2 linked regions of the Callithrix jacchus genome follow. The protein of the gene in region 1 interacts with the protein of each later gene in a biochemical or structural test. Links are inferred from orthologs where the notes say so. Each region holds a gene or a part of one and is shown on either strand. Other genes may lie near its edges.

What was found.
Region 2: the proteins of SIAH2 (region 1) and DLST form a complex in vitro, tested with the Homo sapiens proteins (2 studies listed by BioGRID, with this or other methods). The link is inferred for Callithrix jacchus from reciprocal best matches to the Homo sapiens genes SIAH2 and DLST.

What each region holds. Positions count from the first base shown.
Region 1 is NC_133518.1:34,497,935-34,507,847, reverse strand, and holds the start of SIAH2 (E3 ubiquitin-protein ligase SIAH2), read right to left. Parts: upstream 4,731-9,913; 5' UTR 4,384-4,730; coding exon 3,967-4,383; intron 1-3,966. UniProt on the Homo sapiens protein: E3 ubiquitin-protein ligase that mediates ubiquitination and subsequent proteasomal degradation of target proteins.
Region 2 is NC_133509.1:109,794,853-109,804,695, reverse strand, and holds the start of DLST (dihydrolipoyllysine-residue succinyltransferase component of 2-oxoglutarate dehydrogenase complex, mitochondrial), read right to left. Parts: upstream 6,589-9,843; 5' UTR 6,557-6,588; coding exon 6,494-6,556; intron 5,918-6,493; coding exon 5,884-5,917; intron 5,293-5,883; exon of another isoform or gene 5,151-5,292; coding exon of another isoform or gene 5,088-5,150; intron 2,662-5,087; coding exon 2,613-2,661; intron 1-2,612. UniProt on the Homo sapiens protein: Dihydrolipoamide succinyltransferase (E2) component of the 2-oxoglutarate dehydrogenase complex. The 2-oxoglutarate dehydrogenase complex catalyzes the overall conversion of 2-oxoglutarate to succinyl-CoA and CO(2).

The DNA.
Region 1 (9,913 bases):
GACTTGGTTTGATTTATGTATTTATTTATTTTTTAAGAACATAGACATTGTCACAATTCAACCACAGGGAAGACTTGTCTGGCTGAGGATTTCAAATTCCATAATGATTTGGAGATACGCTACTAGAAACTTTCAGCGAGGATAAAGAAAAGGTATCACAGTGTAAGAAGGCTGGAGTGGATTAGCATTTCTCACAGTTGGGGAGAGAAATACTTGGCTGATATCAAAATATGTCATGACACGAATGTGTCAACCTTCACTTCTCCCCCTAAACCCACACACTGAAGGGGTGATTTTAAGTCCGAGAACAGGATGTCAAAAGTTTTCAGGCATGGAACAAGCCATAGAATGGATTAAATAAATACCCCAAGTGGAAGAAAGCCATAAACTATTAGACATATCTTTTTTTTAAATTTGAGATAGAGTCTTGCTCAGTCACCTAGGCTGGAATGCAGTGGCACGATCTCGGAACTCTGTTAGGCCCTAACTGCAACTTCTGCCTCCTGGGTTCAAGTGATTCCCCTGCCTCAGCCTCCTGAATAGCTGGGATTACAGGTGCCCGCCACCACGCCTGCTAATTTTTGTATTTTTAGTAGAGAGGAGGTTTCACCATGTTGTCCAGGCTGGTCTCAAACTCCTGACGTCAGGTGATCGGCCTGCCTCAGCCTCCCAAAGTGCTGGGATTACAGGCATGAGACACCACCCAAAGATCTGAACTAATAATGCACCTGGTTCCCTGTTATCAAAGCTGCTGGCCGAACTCTAGGCTTTAATTAATTACCCTACACCTAAGTAGGGTAGCTATTGGCAATATATCCATTTTTTGGCTAACTGAAGCAGTCTAAAGATGTGATGATATTCCACAAAATACTAGGTTTGTAGGTCCCCGCCGCACCCACCCCCCGCATCTTCCTACCCGACATACCCTACAAAATTCCTGCCAATGAATTTCATAGTGAGTATGTATGTTGTCATTTTGGGATGGTCCCATCAGAGGCCCATCTGGTGAACTCATCGAACCAGATGGTTTCGTTACTGGTGTCAACCTTGAGTTATGATTCAGAATGTTGGAGTATACACTCAGATTCGAAATCCCTACGTAGTAAGGCGTAGGACAAAAGATCTGTGCCTTTGAGATGCAGGTGCATGGACTGGTCCACTTACTAGCTGTGTGATTTGACAAGTCACTTCACACTTAACCACTCTGTAGGCATGAGTTTCCTCATCTGCAAAAAAAAAAAAAAAAAAAAAAGGCCAACTAATAAAAGCTGACCCCTACGAAGCAGTTGGCAGACAGAGAGCGTCCAATAACATCCAGATAGACTCTCTTCTTTTCACGGAACGCTAGAAGCTACAGGTTTTCAGAAGTCAAGCAGTCTCATCTCTCATTTACAGATGAGGAAATCAAGGCCCCAAGAGGTGGTCTTTCAGGCAAACAGTGGCAGTGCCAGGCAGCTCTTGAGATGTGGGCTCTGGTCCTTAATTCAACATTGTTTTTTTTTCACATGAGCCAGCCCATGAGAGATTCTGAGAGCAGGTGGGGACAGTGAAAAGGCAGTCCTCATAATTTCTAGGAGCCTCAAACTGTAGGCCAAAGGGCTAGGAAAACAGACCTACCTTGTTTTAAGTTTGACGCCGGCCTTACCACTGACAGTTGTTTCTCATCCTCTACGGCTAACACATCTTGGTTGGTCGCTGGGCCTATGTATACATTCAAGTTTGGTTTATCTAGACTAACTGGCTGAGCTGCCTGCCAATAGTTTCGATTATTGATCAACCAAAGGTGAGGCATGCACACTTCAGCTTTATACAACTCACACACATACACACACAAAAGCATCCCCAAGATCACATTCTAAGCTTGGTTCCTGGTCTGTAGGAGAATGGTTGACCCTTTTACATTTCAGCTTGCAAAGTCATGGCTTTTCCCAAGTGCATTCTTATAGAGACTCAGAAAGTTACTGACATGTACAGAAAGGCTGAGAATCCCTGATTCCCAGAACTACTCTTCAGGATTGATTTCACTAGCCTGTCACACGTTAGGAAAGAACATACGCTTTCATAGGAACCAGAGTTCTAGATCCTGAAAGTGAAACTCCATGCTCCTTATAGCATAACTGTTTCCTTCCCCTTCTCTTGGGAACAGCATGATTCTATTATGAGGTTGTGTTTTAAAAACAAATGATAGATTACTGACTAATACCAAATGCTCATTTGTGAACTATAACTCACCTAAAGCCATTTTTTCTATTAGCCACTGCAGGTTTAAGGGAAAGTAAAGGGGTGAGAAAATGACTCCCCAGAAATCCTGTGGGGCATCCCCCACCCCTACAATATGTCTCAGACATCAAATAGCCACTCTATGTTAACTACCACCAAACCTTTTCCAACCACTAGTGTGTCACCTTTTTCACAACCCTAAGACAACTATGCAAATACTTTAAACTTTGAGAAACTGGGCTGAGTGGATTACTGAGCATTATATGAGGAGAGGTTGAAAGCAATTTATTAAGGCTGCCTGAAACACCACAGTCCAAACACTGATTCAAACCCTTATTTAAATATGCTATTTTAAACTTGATTTGTGGCAAGGCAGCAGACCAAATTAAATCACTCATTTACTGACCTGAGCCCCAAGCCTGAATTCTCTGGTGGATTATTTTTAATTTAAAAATGAGCTCTTGTCCTATAAATAAGCAGCACCAAGGAGAAACGCAAGACAGCCTAAATGGCCCAAGAGGCAGAACAAGTTACTTGTACAAAAAAACTGGAAAGTATTAATGACATTATTTCCACTTCTAATTTCAGAAAATGAACTTTCCAGATTTTAATGAAGTAATGTAGACAAGTATGTCTGTGAAATTGCTCCTGAAGGTTTCCACGTAATAGCTGCAGATAAACAAATGTTCTAACATGATCACACAATGCAATACCATGCAGCCATTTAAAATACAATGAAGTCGGCTGGGTTTCAGACATAGAGAAATATGTGTGATAATATGAATTTTAAAACAGCAAGTTGCAGATGCCATTTCTGGAGAAAAACTTGTATCTCTGTGTGGGTATTAAAAAAAACCTCCCTGACATACACTGACATCTATGATTCTATGTTTAGCTGCGAGGGTGTATGTGTGTATATATAGTTTAAAAAGATACACATTAAACCTAACAATGGAGGGAAAGGACGGGACAGGTCCTGGCCTTTCATTTTACTTCTTGTCTTAATGGTTTGCATTTTTCACAAGGGCACTGAAAACTTTTTACATTAAATAAAAAATGAAGTGATGAGCTTTCAACAACTCAAACAACAGCTCTTGAGTGCCCTGTTAATTTCTTGATTGACTGTTTTCACCCCACTTAATACAAAAACGCAGCCACACAACTCCTCAGTCCTTCCCAGTCTTTGGAAGGCTAGGAGAGAAAAAGGCGTGGCTTGCAGGGTTTTCTTGTAGCTGGAGGAAAACAGGCTCTAGGGGTCCTTTTTTTAGCTACACTCTCGAGAACTCCCACGTGTCAGGGGTGCGCAGAAGGTAGATGCGGGGTGCAGGGCTCCAGTATCAATTCAGCCAAGCCGAGTGCTGGTAAAGGGTGTGTTTAGCTTGCCTGTTTCCTCCCTCCTCAATCCCCACAGTTTCTCGGTCCAAGTTTTAGTGGTGCGGCCCATCCTTACCGAGCGTACCCGAATACACATCTGCAGAGGACTCGGGCATTGGGGCGGGTGAGTGAAAATGTTCTAAAGACCAGCGAATGCCAATTAATCTGGGGTCAGTACTCGGTAAATTTCAACCCAGAGCTACTACTTTCAAAGTGGGCTTGAGGGAGGGTGAACGAAGTGTAAACATTTTTTTTTTTTTTTTTTTTTTTTAGGAGAGATGCTGACCGCCTCTCTGGGCCTGCGAGTGGGTTGCAGAATACCGGAGTCCCTGAGGTCACCGGCGGAGGTGCGCGGGCTGTCCCTGGACTTACCTTACAGGGAAACAGGACTGCTGAGGCCACCTTCTCCATAGCCAGGTTCCTGATGCTGGGCGTCAGGGCGCCCCTGCACGTCGGGCAGCAGCTCAACTTCTGGCGGCATTGGTTACACACCAGGTGCCCAGCCTGGCACTGCAGGATAGGAGGCAGGACATAGTCAAAGCAGACCGGACACTCAAAGAGCGAGGTCAGCTCGTGGTGCTGCGGGGACACCGGGCCGGCCCCGCCGCCACCGCCGGGGCCCGAGATCACCGCCGCCGCGGCGGGCACCGCGGACGAGCCGGGGCCCGCAGCCGAGATGGTGGCGGCGGCCGGGGGCGCAGCCGGGGACGGAGTGTGCTGGGGCTGCGGCGGCGGCTGCTTGCTGCACGGTTTATTAGCGCTGGGGCCGGTGGAGGACGGGCGGCTCATCGCGCTCCGAACCAACCATGGAACTGCGGGCGCCTGCCTGCCGCGGGGCCGCCCAGGTCAAGGCGGTGCGCGCCCCGCGGGCAGAGAGCTCGGAGGCAACGCCACGGCGCCCAGCCCAGGTCCGCGCGGCGGAGACGCTTGGCGCCCGGGAGGCGGAGGGTTGGACCACGCGGATGCACTCCGCAGCCCCCGGAGTTCCGAACGCGCCTCCGCAGTTCCGAACACGCCTCCGCGTCGGACCCCGCGCGGTGCCCTTCTCCCGGCGCGGCGTCCCGGGCCCCGAACCCCGAACCCCAGCGGTGCGCGAAGATCCCTGGCCCACCAGCTTCTGGAGCGGCCGCTGACGCAAGCCCCGGGGGCGCGCGCGGACGTGACGCCTGGACACGTGTGCGGCCGCCCAGGCGCGCGGGGACTGGCAGAGCCACCCTGCGCCGGGGCGCTGGCTCCACCCGGCTCCAGCTGGCAGCGCAGGGGGCCGCCTAGCGCCGGCGCTTCCTGCTTAGGCTGCGGGCCGGGCCTGCGCCAGTGAGCATGCCTAGATCGCCACAGCCTCGGGGGGTTGTGTTTTCCAGATTGGGGAGGGGGCCACCCTCGGGAAGGCGTCGCCGAAGTCCTTTAGCCACACCCCGGGGTGCCTGGCTGACTCGTCCCTCGGCTCAGACGAGAAGGGCAACTTCTGGCAGGGCGGGAGCGTGGATGGTGGGTGGGACCGGACGCGGGCGGGCAGGGGCGGGGCGCGGGCGCCCCTGCACTGGTCGGAAAAAACCGAGAGGTGTCTGTTGGGGTTGACTCACCAGCGCGCAAGAGAGGAGGGCGACGCTGCCTCCTGGGTTCTGTGTTCGGAGTCAGGACGAGAAGCTTTGGGTGGGAGCAGGGCGAGGGGCTCGAGTTGGGTCTGCAGTGGGCACAGGACCTAGTTTTGTACAGTTAATGGTGGGTTTGAGTAAAGGCGGGGGAGGGGGGCGGTGGGAAGGAAGGAAGCTCCCTTTATTCCTTTCCCAACGGACCTGAAGGAGGCTTCATTGAATTGAGCGCCCCTGGCTTGTAGAGCAGGAGGAGGAGGCATTTCATGGACAGCATTGGCTGAGAGTTCGAGATCATCTCGGAATGCCAGAAATGTGGGTTGGGTCGTGAGGTCTCTGAAGACAGTGGGTGAGCCTCCAGTATAAGGCGCTGCGTCCTTTTGGTAGAGAGCTGGCAGAAGTCCGAGTGTTTGTTGCGCGGCTAGGCCAGCCTGTGCGCCCATCAGAAGCGCTAGCGAGGGCAGGGTAGCCCGGAGTGAACCGCATGTTCAACTGTGTACTCCGAGTTAAACTGTTTTTCTGCAAACTTTGCTTGAGCCGGTGACTCTGGAATTGGGGAAAGGGTTACCCTAGGTGGCGGATATTTGTAGGAGACACAGAGGTAAGGACCAACTGTTAGGAATGTGTGAAAAGTGGTTTCCTCCAACTGTAAAAGTGGAATAAAAACAATACCTATCTTATGGGGGGGCAGTGAGGAGTAATGAGTTTGATATATGTCAAGCTCTTAAAACTACGCAGAGACTCCATCTCAAACAAACAGAAAAATCAACCTTGCCCATCATAAGCACTGTTTAAACGTTAGTTGTTATCTTTTAAAACTATTATTGGATGCTTAATATGAATGAGTAAAACTTGTCAAAGAAATATGGCGTTAGAGCCCAGAAGAAATAAAGTTTATAAAGGGCTTCCATAGAAAGACTAAATGCGTGGAATTTGGTAAAAATCTTGAAAAAACTTAGTAGGTATAGATATTCAATGATTCAGTAAATGTTTCCGGAGCATTTATCACGTGCCCGCTACTGTTGGAGCTCAGAGAATGGTTCCTATGCAGTTTACGTTCTAGTAAGAGAGCGAGGCCCGATAACCCTGGGAGAGGACGGATCTCAGGGACCGCGAGATGGGAAGGCATTGTAGCAGGAGCTGAAAAGTACAGAGTGAAAGGAGGTATTCTGGGATTGCATTGGGACTTGAAGGGGACATAATGGGAGTGTAGGGGCGTGGGGTTAGCACAAGGGGAGCCTCAACTGGCTTACTAAGACATTTACCTCAATGATAGGGGTCAACCACTGTAGGGTTTTGTTTTTTTTTAAGAACACGTAAGTAACAACACTAGGTTTTGTAGGTTTTTGAAAGCTCATGGCTGAACCTGAGTTTTTGGATAGGTGGGGAGCATAAAATAATACCTAATGTTTATTGAGTCCGCACTGTATGTTGGGCATGGATAGTTTTAAGTATTTCTCATAACTCTATATGATGAATACTACTGTTATCCCCATTTTGCAGTTGAGGAAAGTGAGACACGGATTACTTTACTCAAGGTCTCACAGCTGAGAATGTGGGAACCCGCTTGGAGCCCTTCTTCTGAATTATGCCTGACTCCTACTTGTAGTCTGGTTGAAGAGTTAAGATTAGCACACTCAACAGAGATAGAAAACAGTTGTTCAGCCTATAATAAAGTGCTGAATTTTGTGGGCAAACTTTACATAAACTCTTTCCTTAGCTGGTCTTGAGAGAAAAATTAAATCATATTCTATTTATTTCATTTTCATCTTTTTATGACACAAAACATAAGTGATGACACAAAAATCACCCACAGTTTTACTGTTACTGGAGAAAACGTAATCGTTTTCATTCTTAGTTTAAAATCAAAGCATTTGGAATTTATTACTGGAATGTATTTTCTTTCCTTCCACTTCCGGCCTCTCTGTGTGATGACCCTCATTCCCAGCACTTCTAACTAGCTCTCATTGGGACACTGGAGTCCTCATGCTTGCCCCATTGACATGAGCTTTCAATGTTCCAGCTAGATAGGCCCCAGTCATTTAGAAAGCAATTTGGTTTGGGAGGTGTTGAAATAAAGAACAGGAAAAGCAATTCTCTGCAGAGAGAATTTGGTTTACTTTTCTAAAAATACAACAAACCCATCCACTCTTACCCTGGCAGATGCCTCCCCTGTTATAGAGAAATGTCTTCTTTCTTCCTCCTTCACATCATTGCACACCTGATGAAGTCAATCAGGGTAATTAAAAAACAAAAGCAAAACAAAGAAACTGGGCAGTTGCTGAAGGCAGGGGAGGAGAGTGGACAGGCCTGCTACGTGAGCCACGTAGGTGACCAGGCTGGTCTTTCCAGTCCGCCTTTCTTCTTCCTTCCTTGTGGTTTTTGAAACAAAGAAAGGTGACCTTTGCACTGTGAGCTAGAGCCTCTTCTTTCAGAGAGCAGTCAGCTCAGAGGTCACATTTAGCGTGCACTCAAAATGTGTGCTGAGTTGAGTTGTTGCGAGGATTATTTACCCTTCGGAGTGTTGCTGCTCTTTCCCGGCCTGTTTAGTGAATGTCTGTGGCCTGGGGGAGCAGAGTCCAGCCTTTTGTTACCTCCTGATTCATGACTCATTTACCACATCTGCTGTATGAGAGGTTGGCCTCATTTGCCCACCCACTGAATCCCAGATTGTATATGTCAAGCAGGACACCTCTCCTTAACCCATCTGCTTGCTCTGTGCTAAGCTTGAAAGACTGGGGTTATACTGAGTAGCCTTTTCTTTCCCTAAAATAGCAAGGTAAGTCTTTAAAAAAAAAAAACACCTCACAGGTGAGTTCCTAATCTTACTAAACTGCTGAGCACAATAAGAAATGCTCCAGTTAGGCAGACAAGCTCTTGCCCTTTTTTCTGTAAGTTACAAATTGTGTGGTTTTGCAAATCAGGCAACTTCTGCAATCAGGCAAATGGGGTGCATTTGCAGAGCAAATTGTGGTTGGATATTTAGAGATGACTCAAGTATGCACTGGAGCTTGCCACATGGAAATTCCTCATCAGGGGAAGCGTGTGGGAAATCTGGAGGTGATGTAAGGCCCCCTGGTAATTATAGTAGAACTTTTAACTTCATCTGTTTCTGGGGTAATTTCCAAATGCTCAAACTTCTTTTGAATAATTGTGGGTCACTTAATTCAAGTTTTTTCTTTTTTTTACGACAGGGTCTCACTCTGTTGTCTAGGATTAGTGCAGTGGCTGGATCATGGCTGACTGCAGCCTCGACCTCCCAGGCTCGAAGGATCTTCCTGAGTAGTTGGGACTATAGGTACGTGCTACCATGCCTTGCTACTTTTTTATTTTTTGTAGAGAAGGGGCCTCACTGTTACCCAGGCTGGCCTCAAACTCCTATAGTCAAGTACTCCTAATTCAAGCATTTCTTAAACAAGCATCGTGGACTTAGTACTGTGTACTAAGAATAGGTCTATGTATTTGCATTATTTTTGTATCCACACTAATTTTCTCTCATGCTCATCCTGTACCAGGGAATGTTCTAAGCATCTTAGATTCTCACAATGTCTTTTATAGGGTTGATGTTTATAGATGACAAAACTGCGGTAGAGAGGCCAAGTGAGTTGTAGGATGTAGTCATTAAGAAGGCTCCCAGGGATCCCTCCTCCGTAACAGCTTCCCTGTGAATGAGGGCTGATCTTGCTTTAAATGAACAGAATATGGTCAAAGTGATAGAATGTCACTTCTGAAATTAGGTTAAAAAAGACTATGAATGCCATCTTACTGTCCCTCCGTTCCTCTTGCATGCTGTCTTAGCTTGAGCTGCTATAACAAAATATCATAAACTAGGTGACTTAAATAACAAACATTTATTTCTTAGAGTTGTGGAGGATGGGAAGACCAAGGTCAAGGTACCACAGGTGTCTAGCAATGGCCTGCTTCCTAGTTCATAGATAACAGCCTTCTCACTGAGTCCTCACATAGCAGAGATAGGAAGCAAGTTCTCTAAGGATTCTTCTAAGGATACCAGTCTTCTTTGTGAGGGCTCCACCCTCGTAACCTCCTTTAATCCTAATTACCTCCCAAAGACCCCACCTGCAAACACCATTACTTTAGGGAGTACAGTTTCAGTATGTGAATTTTGAGGAGACACAAGTATTCAGTCTACAACCTTCTCTAAGCCCTCTCTGTGAATGAAGCCAGTTACCATGTTGGGAGTAGCTCTATGAAAAGGTCCACATGACAAGGAACTCATGTCTCTGGCCAACAGCCAGTGAGAACCCTGGGCTTGCCAATAATGAGTGAGTTTGGAAGTGGATTCTCCCAGCCGAGCCTTGTGATGATTGCAACCCTGGCTCACAAGTGATTATGCTTGTGACACCGTGACCTAGAGGACTCAGCTGAGTTGACACACAGAAACTGTGAGATAATGAATGTGTGCTGTTTTTACTTTTATCTTTATTTTTAGAGACAGGGTCCTGGTATGTTGCCCAGGCTATAGTCCAGGGGCCATTCTCAGACACAGTCATGGCGCACTGCAGCCTGGAACTCCCAGGCTCAAGTAATCCTCGTGCCTCAGCCTCCCAAGTTGCTGGGAATACAGGTGTGTGCCACTGCACCTGGCTTCAGTGTTTGCTGTTTTAAGCCATGAAGTTCTGAGATCATTTGTTACACAGCAATATACAACTAAAACACCTGGCCCAGGTCACAAGGCTTACATGAAAAATGATTTTTAATTATAATAC
Region 2 (9,843 bases), on another chromosome or scaffold:
CCTAGCCAGATTTCTTGCTTAACTAAATTCAAGATAGATATATGGCTTGCCCAGGGTACAAGCCATTGTGCAAGGTATAATGGAAATTTCTGCCCTCAAGATTACAGATTTAGATCAGATAAGGCAGCAAGATTAATAAGGTTAACTCGGAAGTAAAACAAGGTATTATGCCAAACAAACACACACACACACGCGCCCCCCCCACAAAACAAACAAAAAAACCACACACAAACTCCATCTGGATCTCTTTTTTTTTTTTTTTTTAAAAGATGGGGTTTCACCATGTTGGTCAGGCTGGTCTTGAACTCCCTACCTCAGGTGATCCGCCCGCCTTGGCCTCCAAAGTGCTTGGATTACAGGCATGAGCCACCACGCCCAGCCTGGTATCTCCTACTCTGTTCTCTTGCTAGAAGGCAGCACATCAATATATTCTGGACTCACTGAAAAGGAACTTCAGAGACCAAGGTGGTTTCTGATATGGCCTTTACAGTAATAATATAACTGTTTATATATATAACTGTCCAGTTGATATAACTGGAGAATGAGATCACCCTGTATGCACAAAGCCATTAACAGCGGTTACCTCTGAGGGTGAGAGATGTAGACATATATGGTATCTATGGTTATATGTTGCATGCACACTTGCACAATTTGGGAGAATGATTTGGATGGGGACTTTTACTTTCTGCACTTCAGGATTGTTTGAATATTCTACAACAAACACGTTTACAACAGAAAAGTAAAATAGATTTAAGTTGGTAACTATAAGGTCTATACACAACCAAGAAAAAAGTGAAGATATTTAAAAACTACAGAATGCAAAATGTTCTACATATAGTTTGTAACCATGAAAAGTACATGCCCATAGGCAAGAGCTAACAGGTAACACACAAGTGCAGAGGCTGCTCTCCAGTCATCCAGGAACCCTGAGTGGTGGCCACCACTGTTAAGAAGCATTTGCAAGGCTAGAGGACAAGGATAAAAGTCTTCTCACGGACATCCTTTTTACTTTTTGAATTTTTAAACATGTAAATATAACACCTATTAAGTGGAAACATAAAACCAAAAATTGTTTTACAATAAAAGATTTCTTAAAGTGGGTACCTTATTCACCGAGGCACAACACACAGAAAATACTGGATTAGGGTGACATGATTATGGGTGATCCCACATAAAGTTTACTTTTTTCTTCATTATTTACTTTCAAATATTTAATGTATTTATTGTAGAGATTCATGATTGCTCCAATTTTCATTGGATTGCAGATGAGTGATACACTTTGAATCTCTAAATAACTAGATGCTCACTGCAGATTAGAAATAGCAAAAAAAATAGTTACAATGGGATTATACCATAGAGTAGAAAATGAAATCATTTTGTAACCTGCTTTTTCCCACTTTTCAGAGTGTGAACCTGTGAAGCATACTACAGTTTAACCAATCCCTTGCTCTGTCATTTTGAGAGAAATCTTATTATATCAGGAGTTCTTCAGTATAGATTCCTAGAAATGGAATTGCTAGACCAAAAGGCATACATAATTCAAAGACTTATGACCACCAAACTGCCCTCCAAAATAACATAGGAATTCATATTTCTAGTACTGAGTGCAACATTTTCTCAATTTAAAAAAAAACAGCCAGGTACCATAGCTCATGCTTGTATCCCCCACTTTGGGAGGCTAAGGCAGGTGGGTGGATTACCTGAGCCCAGGAGTTTGAAACCCTGGCACCATGGCAAAACACCCCATCTCTACAAAAAATATAAAAATCAGCTGGGCATGGTGGCATGTGTCTGTAGTCCCAGTTACTCAGGAGGCTGAAATGAAAGGATCACTTGAGCCTAGGAGGCTGAGGATGCAGCAAGCCAAGATCATGCTACTTCACTCCAGCCAGGACAGAGCAAGATCCTGTCTCAAAACAACAACAAAAAATCCTCATTGTGATGCACATTAAGGAAGAAGTTTATCTGTTGACCCCTTTACTTTGAGGATTCTCCCTGTAGACAAAGCAGCCTGACAGCTGTTGAACAGGTTACTAGAGAGCATTCTCTTAGCACCACCACAAAAACACCTGGAATGCAAAGCAGCATTTAAGCAACATTAATAAGCAAAAATTAATCTGAAACACACGAGTGGCCTTTCTCCAAACTCTGCATTATGCAATAACAGTATTCCCTCCAAACTAGTCAGTCCCAGGACTCAACCAGTTTTATGCTTTTATTCTTTTTAAAATGAGTAACTATGCTACTGAGAGGATGGCTCAATCTCTACAATAAATGTAACCTTGAGCCCTTCAGCTGACTTATACCCAACTAGAATATCCAAGAGCACCCTTCTATACTTATCCCATAAAAAGAGGGTTCCAACCTAATTTTCATTATAATCTAAATACCTGTGGAGAGCAAGCACACTCCCAGTTCAACACCTGACATGGGGCTGATGCTCAAGGAACATCATATGGGAAAAATGAATATCAAGGTTAGTTTAGGGACTCAACATAACCACTTCAATTGCTAGATCTGGAGGCCAGTGAGGAAATCAGATGGTCAAATTTAGAACTGATGTCTTAAAAATACCCCGTGGCCACATATCTGTATGCCCCAGTGATACTTACACAACCTTCCTGCTGTTAGGGTAACCTGGTCCCTGGCATAAGGAGACCCCTGCAAGAAACAAAACAACTCTTAACCAACAACTCTTATCTCACAAAGGATACATTCTGGGAATGTAGGTCTGCTCACCCCCAACCCTGAGACAGAACAGAATCAACTACAGGCAATGGATATAATCTTTATCATAATGTCTTGCTTCTCAAACTTTTCCAAAGTAGCCTTAATGGCAGACAGCACTGGGTATTTGAGGTTAAGAGTGGGTATGTGTTTGGGAAAGGAAAGAGAAAAAATTTGATGGCACAGCCCAAAGTGATTATATAATCTCATTTACCTTAAAAAGTCACTTTTCATTATTTCTTTATGTTTTCATAATAAAATCTCTACTCACCAAGTCTTCAAATACAATTGAAGCTTAAGAAAGATATGGGATGATGGCCGGGTGTGGTGGCTCACCAGCACTTTGGGAGGCGAGGCAGGCAGACCACAAGGTCAAGAGATCAAGACCATACCGGCCAACTCAGTGAAACCCTGTCTCTACTAAAAATACAAAAATTAGCTAGGTGTGGTGGCACGCACCTATAGTCCCAGCTACTCAGGAGGCTGAGGCAGGAGAATAGCTTGAACCAGGGAGGAGGAGGTTGCAGTGAGCCGAGATCGCACTACTGCACTTCAGCCTGGGCCACTGTCTCAAAAAAAAAAAAAAGAAAAGAAAGAAAGATATGGGATGGCTATACATAACCCAATTTGAGAAGCAAGGAGGACATGTGGTCTGGGTTTGAAAAGATTGGGCTAAAAATCTTATCACCTGAACCCTAGTAGCAAAGACTCAGCTACTTCAGGATCAGGGTCTTCAGCATGTCCTAGGGCTGAGAAAATCATGTGCCCACCTTTCAATTACTGACTTCCCATGCCTTTCTGAAGTCTTCCACCCTGGTCACTCTCAAAAAGGTGACAGCCCCTTTCTGCCCACCAGCTGTCCTTACAACAGTTAAGTGCATTTCCCCATCTGTTGACTAGTAACTACAGCTGCCTCTTCTGAATATATTGTCTTTTTTTTTTTCCCCAGATTAACAACTCTTTCTGAACCATGGGCTCAAGAGACTCTAAATGAGAGCTAGCTCTCTCTTACTCCCACCTTCTCACAAACATCCCAAGATAGGTAAGCCAATCACCTCTATGTCCAGCAGCCAATGACTATGCAGTGCAAAATTCAAGCACAGTATCTTTTTCAACTAGAACAGCTGGCAGCCCACACTGATTTTTGGAACCTGGAGTCCAATTCAGAGTTCATCCTACAGCAAGTTTCACCGATACAGCACTTTAGGTTTATAAAAAGCTTTCACATAATGACCTCATTTTGACTTTCAGTGTCACAACTCTCTGAAGTGGAACGACCATCTGCCATTATTCCCATTTCACATATGTAGGGCTTCTGGAGGTTAAGTGACTAGCCCAAGCCAAAATGCAAATCCCAAGTGCAAGGCTCTTTCCATTGCCCTGCCCACCCATAAAGTGGAGAACACGTTTGCTGGCATTGTTCAGAATTCCCACTTGAAAAACATGTTATTGAGAGTCCACTACAAGCTCACGTTGTGCTAGGTGCCTTATGTCCTCATAACTCTTAGAATAAAGTCCACACAATTTATTCGATCCTGTACCATCCAGCCCACTCTATCCTTCCAGCCAGACAGGCTTCTTCCCATGTCTATCACTGGCCAAGTCCTTTCCTGTCTGAAAACCTTTGCACAAACAATTCACTTTGCCTGGAATATCATTTTTCTTGGCTCTTTTATATTGAAGTCTCAGTTAAATGTCACTTCTTCAAGGAAGCCTTTACTGACATTCCCAACCTTCCCCAGCTGGGCTACATCATGCCACCCTCTCATCACCCTTTATTCCTTTCTGGTAGTAACCACAATTTAATTACACCCTTGTCGGAGCATAAATGTGTATTTGCTCTCTCTCCAGTTAGCCCATAAAATCTCGAGGCTAGAGACAATCATCGAGGCTAGGATAGGTGTATCCCTATTACGTAGCACAGTGGCTGGCTTATAGTAAGCACTTAATAAATGATCTGCTGAGTCCTTGAGTAAATGAGAACATGGTGGGCTAAGAGTTCAGGCTGGGTCAGGTAGACCTGGCTTGATCAACCGCTGGGTGGGTGACCTTGGCCAAGGCTTTTAATCTCTCTTGTCTAGGGTTATGCATTTGTAAAATAGAGAAAACACTTCTTAGTATTTTGTGATTAACTAAAAAGTTCACAGAAAGCACTCATAAATGCTTGGTACAAAGAAAGTCCACAAGATCAACTCATTCAACAAATACTTAGGCATATAACAGAAAATTAGCTATGAATGACCATTGTTAATTTTTTTTTCAAAACTATTGGGATAAAATCTAAACTCCGTCAAACAGTTTCTACACCATCTTCTATCTCATGCCACTCTCCCTTAACTAAAATACTCTGGCCAAATCACCTTTTTTCTAGTTCTTAAGTTCTGCCAACCTCTTTTCTTCCTGAAGATCTTCGTGCATGCCATTCTCTTTTTCCTGGGCTTCACTGGGTTAGCTCCGTCACATTCTGCTGGCCATAGTGTTTTTTGTTTTGTTTTGAGTCGGAGTCTTGCTCTGCCGGCCAGACTGGAGTGCAGTGTCAGAATCTCGGCTCACTGCAACCTCCGCCTCCCAGGTTCAAGCAATTCTGCCTCAGCCTCCCAAGTAGCTGGGATTACAGGCACACACCACCACGCCCGGCTAATTTTTGTATTTTTAGTAGAGACGGGGTTTCACCATGCTGGCTAGGCTGGTCTCGAACTCCTGCCCAGGAAGAATGATCTCCGCGCGTAGGCCTCCCAAAGTGCTGGGATTACAGGCCTGGGCCACGGTGCCCGGCCGTATTTTTATGTGACCTCCTCAAAGAAGGCTCGTCTGTCCACCCTCGTGTGTTTCCTTCTCAGCATTTACAGAACGTTGTCACTGTTCACTTGTTTGGCAACTGACACTTTCCAACTAGCCTGGGAGCTCCACGAGAGCAAGAATTGTACACTGCTGTATTCACTGCTGTATCCCTAGCGCAGGGCCTGACAGCAGAAACTTAAAAACTACAAGCTAAATGAGTAAATGATAGCCCATGATTATGTAGAATTGTGTCTCACTACTCTCTAAATCGAACTGCCTTTAAATATTATGAGAAACACAGGCACCCCCGAGTTCCTCACATACGGCTCTGCCCAGGAGGAGAGCATTTTAGGTGACGGCAAGGGCAGAACTTACCAGGCAGGGAACGTCTCCCTAGAGGGCAGTTCCCCTGTTGAGAAAGAAGACATTATCGACATCACCCAAGACGAAAAAAAAAACAAACAGGAATTCTTTTAAGTATACGCTCAAAGCTGTCCCAGTGCTGGTGACAGGTGAATCTCGTAACTCCGAAGGTAAATGTAACACACCGGGCTGGCAAACCCAATCAACACGCTGGGCCTGCCAAACTATCTCAACTTCCCAATGGGACTCACTAATACCCACAGATTTTAACAGAGCAAGAGGAGACGGGCGCCGAATCCCGCCAGAAGACTCCGCCGCGCCTCCTCCCCAACTCTGAGTCAAGTATGTGGACGGGCGCGGCTCCCCAGCTCCCGCGCGGAGGGGGGGGTAAGGCAGGAAACGTTCTCCGCGGGCTGCCTGGAGAAGGCAGGGGGCCGCCGGGCTCCGCAAGACGGTCCCGAGGACAACCACAGCCCCGGGCCGCCCAGCCCGCGCGGCCTCCGCGTCCCGGTGCCCTTGGTGCCCGGGCTGGCCGGCGCGCCGCGCCCCTGCCTTCCAGGTCACCTGTCCGCCCGCCAGCAGTCTCCTCATCCGTTGGGGCCCCGGCTAGGCCAGATCGTACCTTCTGGAAGGCGGAGAGCGAGCGGCTAAATGCCCGAGACACACAGCGGGACCGGGACAGCATCGCGGCTGCGGAGCCGAGGGCGGGCGGACACCGGATATAGGGCCCGGCAACAACCGGAAGTGGGGCGGACCGCAGCACCCGCTGCCCGGCAAGGGGTGTTCGGAGCGAACCACTGGCGGGGGGTGTGGGCGCCACGGAGGCGCCCACTAGCCTGCGTTGCATCCCAGGAGTACGGCTCTCTGGAGCAGGCGGGGCCGTTTGCGCAACCTGTCAGCCTGGGCCGGTTCTCCTGAAGGTGTCTAAGATTATCCCGCCACCGGATCGCCCCCGGGGTCAGGCCTTCCCCGACCCTTCCACAGAACTGGCTCTGAGCTTGGCGCCCTTCTCTCTTGGGACCCGGGGGCACCGCGCCTTTCTGCCTCTGTACCAAGGGGGGCACGGACTTTGAACTCAAACCTTGGCAGACATGCATGCCTGATCTTACACTGTGTGGCCTGGGGCAGATGACATTGCCCCCCAGCCCCTAGCCTCAGGTTCCTTAACTATTAAAAAAAAAAGAAAAGAAAAGAAAGAAAGAAAGAGGAAGGAAGGAAGGGAGGGAGGGACGGCACTTGTTACTTCCTTGTCTTCCTAACTCCGAATCAAAGAAACAGAATCCCAGGAATTTCTAAAGGGCTCCCACTGCCTTTTTACGAGCCGAGCCGGATATCTTCACCAATGCAACAGCCTCTGATCTTCCTCCATACAAATTCCAGTCAAACTAATTGTTCCCCATACATCTTGTGCATTTTGGAAGTTGTTCGTTACCCTATCCCTAGAATATAAACTCCCAGCTTTTCTTTTAAGAAACCAGGTCATAGCTTGCTCACTGCAGCCTCGATATTCTGGGCTCAAGCGATCCCACTACCATAGCCTCTGAAGTAGCTGGGACTGCAGGTGCTACCATGCCGCACTGACCTCCACACTGAGTGTACCATTCTGCCCGCTGCCTTGAAGTGAAAGCACATAGCATCCCTTTCCCCTCCTTAAGTGTTCAGGCCCCTAAGTATTCACCTTTAAGGCTCATCTTCCTAATAAAAAAGATGTTCTTTAAACCTATGGCTGAATTAGCAACAAATAAATGTGTGAATGAACCACCTGGTGCCTGTTCATGATGGTTTCTTTATCTGAGGCATTTTGCCTGGTCCTCAGGACCTTTTTTTTAATTTTATTTTTCTAATTAATTTATGTTTTAATATAAATTGAGACAGGGTCTCACTATGTTGCCCAGGCTGGCCTCAAACTCCATTAGGACACTTACAAGTGCCTTCGTTCACCTGAACCCTGAAAGCACTGCCACTGGCATTCTGGAAGGATGGGCCAAAGTCCTAACTAGAAACAGAGAAAACAGCTGTGCCCTGCTGCTACCTATAATCAACTCCTCAGTAGCCTCCACCTGAATTATTTGAAAAGCTCTCTAAGCAGTTCTAAGCCTCCACTCTCGCTTTCTCTAGTCCATCATCCTTTGTATCTGTGTCAAAGATCCTTCTGGGCCCAGTGCAGTGGCTTAATGCCTATAATCCCAGCACTTTGGGAGGATGAGGTGCGTGGATCACTTGAGGTCAAGAGTTCGAGACGAACCTGGCCAACATGGTGAAACCCTGTCTCTACTAAAAATACAAAAATTAGCCTGGTGTGGTAGCGAGTGCCTGTAATCCCAGCTACTCGGGAAGCTGAGGCAGAAGAATCACTTGAACCCAGGAGACAAAGGTTGCAGTGAGCCAAGATACCACCACTGTACTCCAGCCTGGTGACAGAATGAGACTCCTTAAAAAAAAAAAAAAAAAAGAAAAAGAAAAGAAATCCTTCTGAAATCTGAAATGCAAGGGAGATAAACTTTATTTCCCTGTAGGATGAAGTCCAAACTCCTCAACTTGACTAGGCAACCTGATAATCAGGCCTCTGATTATGTTCTGATTCCCTCCCCACATTCTCACAGATTGTGAGCTTTAATTAAACCACACCACTGGCCATAGCCCCACTGAGTTTTTTTTTTTTTTTTTTTCAGACGGAGTTTCGCTCTTGTTACCCAGGCTGGAGTGCAATGGAGCTCACCACAACCTCCGCCTCCTGGGTTCAGGCAATTCTCCTGCCTCAGCCTCCTGAGTAGCTGGGATTACAGGCATGCGCCACCATGCCCAGCTAATTATTTGTATTTTTAGTAGAGACGGGGTTTCACCATGTTGACCAGGATGGTCTTGATTTCTTGACCTCGTGATCCACCCGCCTCGGCTTCCCAAAGTGCTGGGATTACAGGCTTGAGCCACCGCACCCGGCCCCACTGAGCTTTTTGACTCCTTGATAGTTTTGCGTGGGTTCTTCCCTCCTCCTATTTGCCTAGGGACTCCTAGTCATCCGTTAAATCTCCTTCTGAATCCCTTCCTAACCCCTCTGGCAGAATTAACAGATACATTTTCTATGCTTCCAAAGCACTGTGTCTGGGTGTCTGCGGTGCATTGTATTGTAACATCCTGTTTACCTGCATGTCTCCCCTGTTGCACAGAGAAGCACATGGAAAGAGACCACTTTTTATTTTCCTGAATCCTCCAAACACAACACCTGGGACAACGGAGTTCCTGGGACTCTGCAGGTACTCAGTAAATGTTTGTGGAATGACTATATACTTTCATGTTTACAACATTGATAGACACAGGTGAATAATCCAAGAACAGTAGCCAGAGGCTATGACAATCTCTTGCTAGGGTTGCCGTTAATATTTTTTCTCAGCTAGCTACTCAATTCTCTCACAGTCTTTAATACTTTTTGAGATTTTTTTTTTTTTTTTTTTAAGAGATAGGGTGTAACCATGTTGGCCAGGCTGGTCTCGAACTCCTGACCTCAGGTGATCCACCCATCTCGGCCTCCCAAAGCGCCAGGATTGCAGGTGTGAGCCACAGTGCCCGGTCTTGAGAAGTGTAGAGGCTCAAGCCTAGTTATAATGTGGCAAAGCGGCCGGGCATGGTGGCTCACACCTGTAATCCAACCACTTTGGAGGCCAAGGCGGTGGATCACCTGAGGTCGGGAGTTCAAGACCAGCCTCACCAACATGGTGCAACCCCGTCTTTAAAAATAATAATAATAATAATGTGGCAAAGCACTTCTGGAGTTTTAGTGATCACCAAAGTTAATCTTAGATATTACAGTCTTAAAACACCACACACACACACACACACACACACTTGAACACAGTTTCATACAAAATCTCTTTCAGAGGGTAAAAGTTGAAATTTATTTCCTTGAGATTCACATGCGAGTTTCCATGGACTCCAAGCTGCAACCCAATAAGCTACTGCCCTGGTCTTCATTTA